2 linked regions of the Drosophila melanogaster genome follow. The protein of the gene in region 1 interacts with the protein of each later gene in a pairwise test. Each region holds a gene or a part of one and is shown on either strand. Other genes may lie near its edges.

Evidence for each region.
Region 2: the proteins of CG31191 (region 1) and dpr9 interact in a two-hybrid assay, tested with the Drosophila melanogaster proteins (one large-scale study listed by BioGRID).

Annotation. Positions count from the first base shown.
Region 1 is NT_033777.3:20,942,510-20,947,355, forward strand, and holds the start of CG31191 (uncharacterized protein), read right to left. Parts: upstream 3,022-4,846; 5' UTR 2,662-3,021; coding exon of another isoform or gene 2,655-2,661; intron 1-2,654.
Region 2 is NT_033777.3:15,074,205-15,078,918, reverse strand, and holds the start of dpr9 (defective proboscis extension response 9), read left to right. Parts: upstream 1-1,712; 5' UTR 1,713-1,883; intron 1,884-2,632; 5' UTR 2,633-2,789; intron 2,790-4,714. Other genes in the region: CG6974 (uncharacterized protein), read left to right, coding at 1-389.

The sequences.
Region 1 (4,846 bases):
ACCCACCGTCATTACAGCTTGTAAGTGCTCATTAACATAAGCCGCTGATGTCGTTGCGCACATTGTTGCCATTCCGGTGGCTCCACGGACTTTTGTCTGCCCTTTTTGGGCGCTGGGAGTCGAGTGGCCCGGAGTCCGGACTTGGGGCTCTCGACTCGCGCTGATTGTCGTATTTAAATTAATTTCAATACAACGACAAAGAGTACGAATCATGCAAATTATAGAATCAAAAGACACTGGCCCATAAAAGTAAACAGTCACCCAAAAAACAAGAATCGCTGGGGCGGGTGGATCAGCAGGAAAGCTCCGAATATAAAAGTTAAATTAAAAAATAATATCCGACGAGCAGAACGACAATGAAATTGACGGGCGGAGAAGGCGAACAAAAATGCGAATTACACATAAAAAGCCGCAATTGAGTTTTTCGACTTGTGCCCGGCCCGTCAACCCGGGCGGTGAAAGTGTGGGGAAATTTGGGGAAAATGCGGCGAAGGGACGCTGCCGAGTGGGTAACTCCATACAAATATATGCGTAAATCTCGACGATTTCAAAGGGCGTGGTGGATGCTGGGCGCCGGGTGAAACTCGATGGGTTGTCAGTGAACAACAAAAACAAGAGAAGCAACAACGAAATGCGAATCCAAATGAGCATCGCTTCGCAGCAAAATAAAGGCAGAAGTGAAGCGAAAGCAAGAGCTAAACCGACAAAGGATCTGGCGAAAAGCGGAAAGAAAAGCGCCTCTCGTAAAATTTCCACACTCACACACTCGCGAGTTTTGCTGCACACTTTAAGGTGGTAGGGGTTGATGAGCGGAGGGGGGGGGGGGGGTGCTGCTGCTGGGTTGGTTTGAAAAGGTCTTAAAGCAACCGCTGCATTGTTTCATTAACTCCGTCTGAAATTGTGTGCGCACCAGCACCCCCATTACCCCATTCCAAATTACTCTGCGCTTCCCGACGACATTTTATGGCCCCTTTTTTAAAACCGAGATCATTGAACGCTTACCTACACTGGGAAAACCACAAACCACAAAAACCAAAACTAATCATTTAAATTGATTTCTCTGAAATCAAGTCCTTAAACCATAACCACAACCACCAACCGATGCAGTTTGTTCAATACTACGCATGCCGTTGACCACAATAATTGAAAAATTACGCACTGAGGTGGGATTTGCTTAGGCCACTATATATGAGCTAAAAACAATTTAATCAACTTAATTATCTTCTTTATTATATCATGCATACGTATATTAAATGTCCATACTCCAAAACTTTCAACATATTTGAATGGATATGCAATGAATGTTAGTATACATAAATAAAGCTTGCATCGATTGGTACTTTTTTCCCAGTGCAACTTAATAACCCTTGGCATTCCATGTTGATTTACACCCAGACAAACCCTGCTAACAAATTTTTCTGAAGCAAGGGAATAATAATATAAATTGCAATCCAGATTTTCCGGGAATCCTTCGCCTCGGGCAGCAAATACTCGCATTTCTTGACAGTCTTTTCTTCGAGTGCATTGCGTACTAATCTGAGTTGATTTACTCATTATTCGCTTAGACGAAAGTCTCGTAAATCCCCGTAAAATGAGGAAATAAGTTGTAATTCTGAATCTGAAATCTTCATGGCTCCCTGAAGATTGTTTGCAAAAAGCTGCTGCTAATTAGTAAGCTGAAAAAGTGAAAACCGAGGTGTTCGCTTCGACTCATCGTAATGAAGTTTTCCAATTTACTTATCGCCTTGCTTTTGCTACGTATATTTTCGACTTCACCGGGACAAGGACGATTCCCGGACAGTTTCCCGGGCTATTTCCATCCACTCCCCCTACCCCCCTGCGCAGCCCATTTTCAAGCACAATTACCGCACGGAGGCTGCAAGTTTTCAAGGCCGCTTTTAGCACGTAAATTAATGTTGTTTCGCGATGTTTGTTGCCTCTGTTGTTTTGCTCGACTCAACTTTTGTTTAGTGTTTTTCTAGGCGGGTAGGGAAAAGTTTCCCGTTTTCCACGCTGCACCAAAGGCGTTTTCCCTTTTTTCTCGCACGAAACTGTTGAGTGGCAAGTACACAGAAGTGTTGCCGTGTGTGTGTGTTCTTTTTTTCGAGTTTGTGTGCTTTGTGCAGTCATCAACACCAGCACAAACACACACGCACACACAGCCAGTGGATAGTAAATAGAAAGGACATTAAGTGGCGTTAAACAGACACTCGTGCAACAGCCGCAACATGTGAAGTGGACCAGCGGGGAAGTGGCAAGCCAGGACATCGGGTGGTTGGGTGTGAAAAAAATGCATGAGGCTGCGCCATTGCAAAGCACATTTATTAGCCGGGCACACGATTCAAATCGGTTTGCTCTCTGTCTCTGCCTCCTTTATTTTTATTTTAAGCGGAAAGTGCAGTTGAGATAAAGTGGCATTAAAATGGCGTTTTACCTTTTCGGCATAATTATTAAGTTATTATTAAACGAAAGTGAAGCTATGCTGCTATATTTACTCTGGTTAATCTGTATATCTAGCCAAAAATGAAATAACTATTTCTAATATTGTATTAAAGCGAACATTATGTATACATTTAAATGTATTTTCTTTGCTCCCATAACTTGAATTATTTATTAAAACTTAACAATATGGTGGTACTTCTTTGTGCACTTACTTATCATTTTATGCCGCTGGGCGGTGCGCAAACCCAAATGCTTGGATTAATCCGGCTGACTGCTCTTTGATGAGGAACCCGAAGCTCCGTTTTTGACCGCTTCAGTCCGCACTCGAATCGAATCGAATATAAAACTCGCGAAATGGTCACCGGGTATTTCCGGGAAATAAGCCACGAAACTTTAAAACTCGCACTGCTCTTTTGCTTTTCAGGACGAACTGCTGATGGCTGATACAGATGCTGTTGCTGCTTTTGGTGTTGCTGTGCCTGCTGTTGCTGCTGTTGCTGCTACTCGTGCTGCGTTTTTGCGTTTTTGCCGCGCTTGCCACCCAAGGACCCAACCAGACGAGGACTGTCGATGAACTGTGCGTCCAGCAGCTGTTGCTGCCCGGTGTTATACGGGCCATAGCACAGTTGGCACAGGCGGCGCGTCCCCAGGCACAGTGGGCCATCGTGGTGCAATTCACGCACACACGGCGTATGCGCAATGTCGGAATGGCAGGAGAGCCGAGCGAGAGACCGAGAAGCCGACGGAATTTACTCACGCAACGGCGGAGCAACAATTTGTTGACGAGCCGGGACACAGCCACGAATGCCAGTCAGCCAGACGGGCGGAAGGACGGAGGACATTTTGCTATTTGTTATACGGCAGACAGGCAGCGTCGTCCTGTCCAAAGGCAAGAAATAAGACCGGAAGCAAGAAGTCAGCGCGATAAGCAAACGAGGGGAAAGCGGAGCAAAAGGGATATCCTCCTCTCTTGCAGCTGCAAATTCCTGCTGTCTTTCTTTGGTAATACGAAGGGCGAGAGCCAGGACGAAGTCACCTTTTCCTTGTTTGTCCCTTTCCTTGCCCCGTTCTGCTGCGGGAGAACACCTGAATTTTCTTTCTTTCGACATTAGCATAATCGGCTGTAGTAGTAGTTGTGCCGTGGAAATTAAGTTGGCGCTGGATCTGCCCCTGTGCTGCGCCAGAAACTTACTCCGTGGCACACGCGGCGTATGCGCAATGTGCGGCAACTGTTGCTTGGACCCAAAAAGGGTGCTCCGCTTCCGTTCCCACCGTCCCCTCCACGACTCAATAAATATGCATGAGCAGGAGGCCAAGGGGCTTCAATTAAATTTACTCAAATTGCGGTTGACGGGACAAACGGCTGCTGGTGTGCAGCTTTTTTCTGCGTGAAGGAGGTCGGAAATTTGCATGCAAATATTTTCGGCATTTCCTCTGCTGGAAATTTATTTGTTTTTTTTTTTTTTTGTTTTTTGCCCTTACTATTTTTTGCATTTATTATGAGCGTAGGCAGAAAAAGCGGCACAAATTAAGACGCCAGCTCGTTGATGCGTGTCCTGGTAGTGTTAAATTGCGAAATGAACTTAAGTGAAATGAGCAAAAGGAGCTGGAGGAGCACGAGCTTTAATGGCCAGCATTCTGGTCCTTCCGTTTGGCTCCAAATTGGCGGCCTGGATGGGGGATTCCAGGAGCCTGGCAGAGCAAACATGAACGAAAAAACATGAAACGTGCCCAGCCTGCTAAGGACATTCATTACGCAAGCTATGAAGCTGCCTTCTCCGAACTGAATCCAACCATCGCAGCCATACCCACACACCCCCCCCCCTCCACTTCCTACCCATGGGCTTAGTGGGCTGGCCACGCCTCCTATTGAATTATTCCAGTTTTATTTCTCGCCATTTGGCTTGGCACACACCGAGGCATCCGACTCGGCCGTGAAGCTGACTCCTTGCCGCCGGTGGCCCGGTTGTTGAACCACAAACACCCAGACACACAGAAACACTAAGCACCAGCACGCAGCAGAGGCAAAGACACCTGTTGATTGGGCCTTTCAGGTTATTTGAGCCAAAGCCAATGCCAAAGCAAAAGCAAAAGCGAAAGCCAAACCCGAAGACAGTGGCAGTGGCAACAAGGCGATTTCCCCTCAGCTTATGTGGGCTCAATTTTGTAGTCGAGCCGGCTTCCTTCTAATGGCCATGGGATATTGAATCGATTGACGGGGCCGCAGGATGAGAGGGCGGGCAAAAGGATGGGCAAAGTGGAAAGTGGGTTGCTCTGCAGCTGAGCGAAAAGTCGTTTCGCCTAAGCAACCGCAGCCCCTTTGGAGCTGCTTCCTTGTTTGTGCTCGTGTCGACAACAATTGATTTCAAAATATTAATTAACCGGATAAACCAATTGAAGCTTC
Region 2 (4,714 bases), 5.9 Mb from region 1:
AACCTCTGTCCTTTGGTCCGCACGAAGTTGTCCTTAACGAGAAATGCCTCACTATGCCGGCTGTAATTCAACACGAAACCCTTCACCTGCTGGGCCTTTTCCACGAGCAGAGTCGTCCCGATCGCGATGAGTACGTGCAAATCGACTACGACAATATCCCGAGGAAATACTGGTCGCAGTTCATGGCCATGGATCAGACAACCACCTTCAATGTTCCATACGATTACGAGAGCGTTATGCACTATTCGAAGAACGCCTTCGCCAAGGATCCCTCAAAGCCAACAATTCGTGCCCTAATCGGTGGTAAGGCTGTGGAGAGGGAAATGGGTCAGGTGCGAGGACCTTCCGAAGGGGATTGGACCAAAATTCGTTTGATGTACAAGTGCTAGAGTGGAGGAAGAATTCTGCGAGGACTAGGATTGGTTAATAAATATGTTGCGTTCTAAAGTGGATGTGTTTAAATGGAATGGTTTAATATGCAAACTTTCAGACCGATTGCATGGTTTTTCAATCTTTTATGGCTTTTCATTTAAGTCTATCACTAAGTCATTTAAGCCCCACCCACCCGAAAAGTGCTACCCGTTTAATGCTACCCAATCATTCAGTGTCCGTTAACTGGAAAAACGTTTTTCCAGCCTCTTGAAAATGGGTAGCCCCGCTCGAACATAAAGGAAATCCAAATCCAAGCCCAAGGCGAATGCATTTGATTTCACAGAAGTGCAAGTGTAAGTGTCAGTTAACTTTGAAGCAGACTAAGGAGCAGTTGGGGAAGAAAGCGGGGCTTCTCAATGCTGAATGGGGTCTGCCGTGGATTGGGCATGAGTCCAAACGACTGGGCAGCAAACAATCCGAATCCCTGGCACTTAATGTGCACTAAGTGCTTAAGAAGGCCGAGTGTCTGGAGCTGCCTATTAGAAGTCTCTCACTCCCCTGGCCAGTAACCACCCACTTTGGATCAGGATACCATTTCATGGATAGCAATTGCGGAATTTAAATAACCTTTTTAAATCCCTGACAGCTTTGCAAAAATCGAATTGTACGAGTTAAAGAATCAACCAAGCAAGAAGAAATTTTCATCTGCTTAAATTTAAAGAATATATCTTTGCTATAAAGAATCCAATTATTTTGACATGAATTATCTTATATGCCCAGATAGAAATAATATTTACTGAAATGTGACGAATATTATTTAATAGCTTTGACCTTTAAAGAAAACTGTCAGAAAACAAACCAATAAAAGCTAATAAATGTGCCGCATGGTAGTAAGAGAGTATTCCTGTATCTCCACTAATAATTTAGCAACAACATACAACGAATGTGTAAATGTTTGCTTAAAGGAGAATATAAATAACAAACAAAAGAATAAACGCTGTAGTTTACCCTTTTGAGTGGTACAAAATAGCACTATTGGCAAGTGTTGAGTTCTGCAAAGCGGGGCAAAGAGTTGTGGCTTCGTAAGGATGCCAACAGATGGCCATTAAATGCTTGCCTTAAGAGAGCCGGATATCAAAGAGACTCCACATGTTTCGGGAAGTTCGAAAGTGCCATCGGTGAGAGTGAAGACCGACTGGAAGTGAGCTGGCAGGATGAATACATTTTGGCCCACTGTTCTAGGCGGAAAAGCTCGCTCTCTCGCCGAAAAAGGGGAAGAGGAAAATGGGAGCTTTGGCTGGTCGCCTGGCTTTTCAAGCCGACGCCGTTCGTGTGGCTTTCAGTGTATTCAGTGCAGTCGTATCGTTCGGTTCGTTCTCACGGTGAAAAGCGGTGGAAGGTCCTGTTCGGAGGACAACCTCAATACGCCACTCACACACGCACAAGTGGGCTTACTCACACGGACACGGGTGCGCTAGTCGAAAGTAAAAGTTGTCCAGTGTGCCATAAAGGTAAATAATAAATGAGCCAATGTGAAATATACGCACGCAATGTGAAAGCAACGAAATATATGAAGAAATCTACGGAAAAATGAAAATCTAGACCTGCGTGCCAGTGTGCAAAATCAAGTATGCAACACTTAAGTGAAACGAATATCCCAAAATAAAGTGTGCAAGAGTGCCAGCGATCCTTGAATATTCGAGTACCAAACTAAAATACTAAGCCAGACTAAAACTAAAAACCGAACCTGCCCCAACTGATCCTTCACCTCAATTCTTACCTATCAAGGCCACACGGCGGCTGTGGCATATTAACGTTGCACTCGTTGCACGTTGCACATACAGCCAACTCACACAAAAAATGTTATTCATCTTCGCGTGCTGTTTTGTTTTTTAAGACCGCCAAGGTCGTCCAGGAATACGTATATCTCTTAACGCGGTCCGAGAATTTTAGAAATAATTATAAGAAATACTTTGGGGTTTCCTTTTAAAATTTCTCGGAAAATGTTGCGATTTTCCCTCGTCTGAACTTTTGCTTTTTAACTTTTTTCTTTCGCCTTCCCTTTGGGGCTCATAAATTAGGGTCGCATTCCGCTTAACCGGGAATATTTGCATAAAATGGGAAAAAGGGCGAGAAATGGTTTAAATACGGGAATCACACGGCTGAGATATTCAACACATGAAAAAAAGGGGGCATATAAAATGAGTTCACAGGCCTTGATGGGTTGAGATAAAGCAAACATTAAAGTCCCTTTATTTAGATGATAAAAAATTGAAAAACAAAAGTGAAAATTAGCACTGCGAAAATTCCAAGGTTCATAAAGATTCGGTACCGAAACTTTTGAGTTTTATCAAAAACCCAAACATCGAAAAATTTGCAACAAAACAGGATCAAAGGACAACAGCAGCGCAGCAAAGGTGAGCCCTTTTAATTTTATTGAGCCAATTATCCAATAATTTCATTAACTAGTTAACACCAATAATCATGTATTTCCTTACAAAAAAAAAAAAAAAACAAAAACACATATCAACCAATGTGTCATTGTTTGAGTTTGGGTGGTGCGTTGGTTTTCCCAGTGGCGGAAAAGCCAAGCCAACGGGTGGTACGGTTACATTTTTATTTATTGTGATATTTTTTTTCGCTGTTTCTCTTTGCTGTGGTTAGAAGTTGTTCAGGAAAAAATGTTGCCGGTGGGAGGAGCTTGGATTGTTAGCTCAATTTAATTATGAAAATGCCAAGAATTTCTCTGGGCACACACGTGCCTAAACATACAGGTGGGTGGTATTCCAATCAACTTATTTTATTAAATGTTGTGGGGGAAGGACACCAAATTTATGCTCCTAAAAGCTTATATTAAGACTCACTGATGGAAAGGTGTTATAAATAATAATGACTATTTTTAATTAATATACAAACGGAATATTATAAGTGTTATAAGTATTTGAGAGCTACTTGTTGGTTAATTAAAATTTTATCAGGCAACTGAACATAAACCTGATTCAGTTACTACGAACTGAAATTTTGTTCTTCGGAAACATACTAATAAGCCTATTTAAACTCTTTTAAGTTCTTGAAATTAATTAGCTAATGATCCATTATTTATAATGAAACATTATTGCTAAGAACCATAAATTCGCGATGGGTAAGGCTTACATTTAAATAGGTCACGTGAAATGCCTTCGTTTTCAGTTTTACTAAGAGTCGTAGCTTTCCACTCATGTGGCACATATTTCTGTGGCATCCACCACAAATTTCCATTACTGAGATTGCCTTAGAAAATATGCTTAGATGCTACACCTTTGACCACTTTCCCAACACCATTACCTGTGAGCTCAGGGAAAAGGTAACTAAGACTTTCCGCCCGACAAGATTGCCATTTTATGCTAGACATTTTCTAAGAAAATAAAACAACATTTTATTTACACGCTGCTTCAGCAAGGTCACTTATTATGGAACTTTGCGCGTCAGAAAGTTGCCCAAATACATAAATTATTTTTATTGTACTTAACCTTTTTTTTTTTTGCCTTGACTTTCCCTATTCATTGTCTGGCCCAAATCAGCTTAAGTCACACAGAAAAGAAATTCATAAGCTTGCTTTAAGATGCGAGTAACCGAAAGATACAAATAAGTGAAGTAGGCCGAACAGAAAATAGGCTTTAAAAGCTGTTTGGTTACTCTATAAAATATTTCGGTTGAGCTTATAGAATTTCAGAACGACATTAATAACCCTTCTTTCGTTAGAAAAAAAAGGGTTATAATATTGAGCCAAATTATAAGCAAAAAATTGTATTTTATGTGCATGGTTTCCTACAATTCATCGAATTGGATTGATACAAAAAGTAACTGTAGCTGATTAAACTTGCTTATGACTCTATGACCTGAATATATTTTCCCATTTAATCAGCTTACAATTGTTGCAATATTTTTTTAAATGGCACAATAAAGTTGAAAATGCAATGGAAGTGCAACACAAAACGCGTCCATTATATTTGTTTTGGCATTGACATATTTACTTGATTTAAATTTTTATGAATACCCTTTTGTTTACTTGTGAAACTCTTTGAGCGTACAATTTTGAATGAATGAAATATTATGCAAATGTTTGATAAATAGCAGGAAATCAAAAGCAAACAAAAGGAGAAAATTGTTAAGCAAAAATATAATTGATGGCAATCGCACACAATTGCAGCCGAGCGAAGACATAATTAAAAGAAATATATATGTATATGTATATATGCGTACGTATGGGTGTATTAATCAAACATAATTACTCTGGTCATGCATATTTGATTAATCGGTTAAAAGGAAGGTCCTGTGGTCGTGTTCCACTTTTGTTTGACCT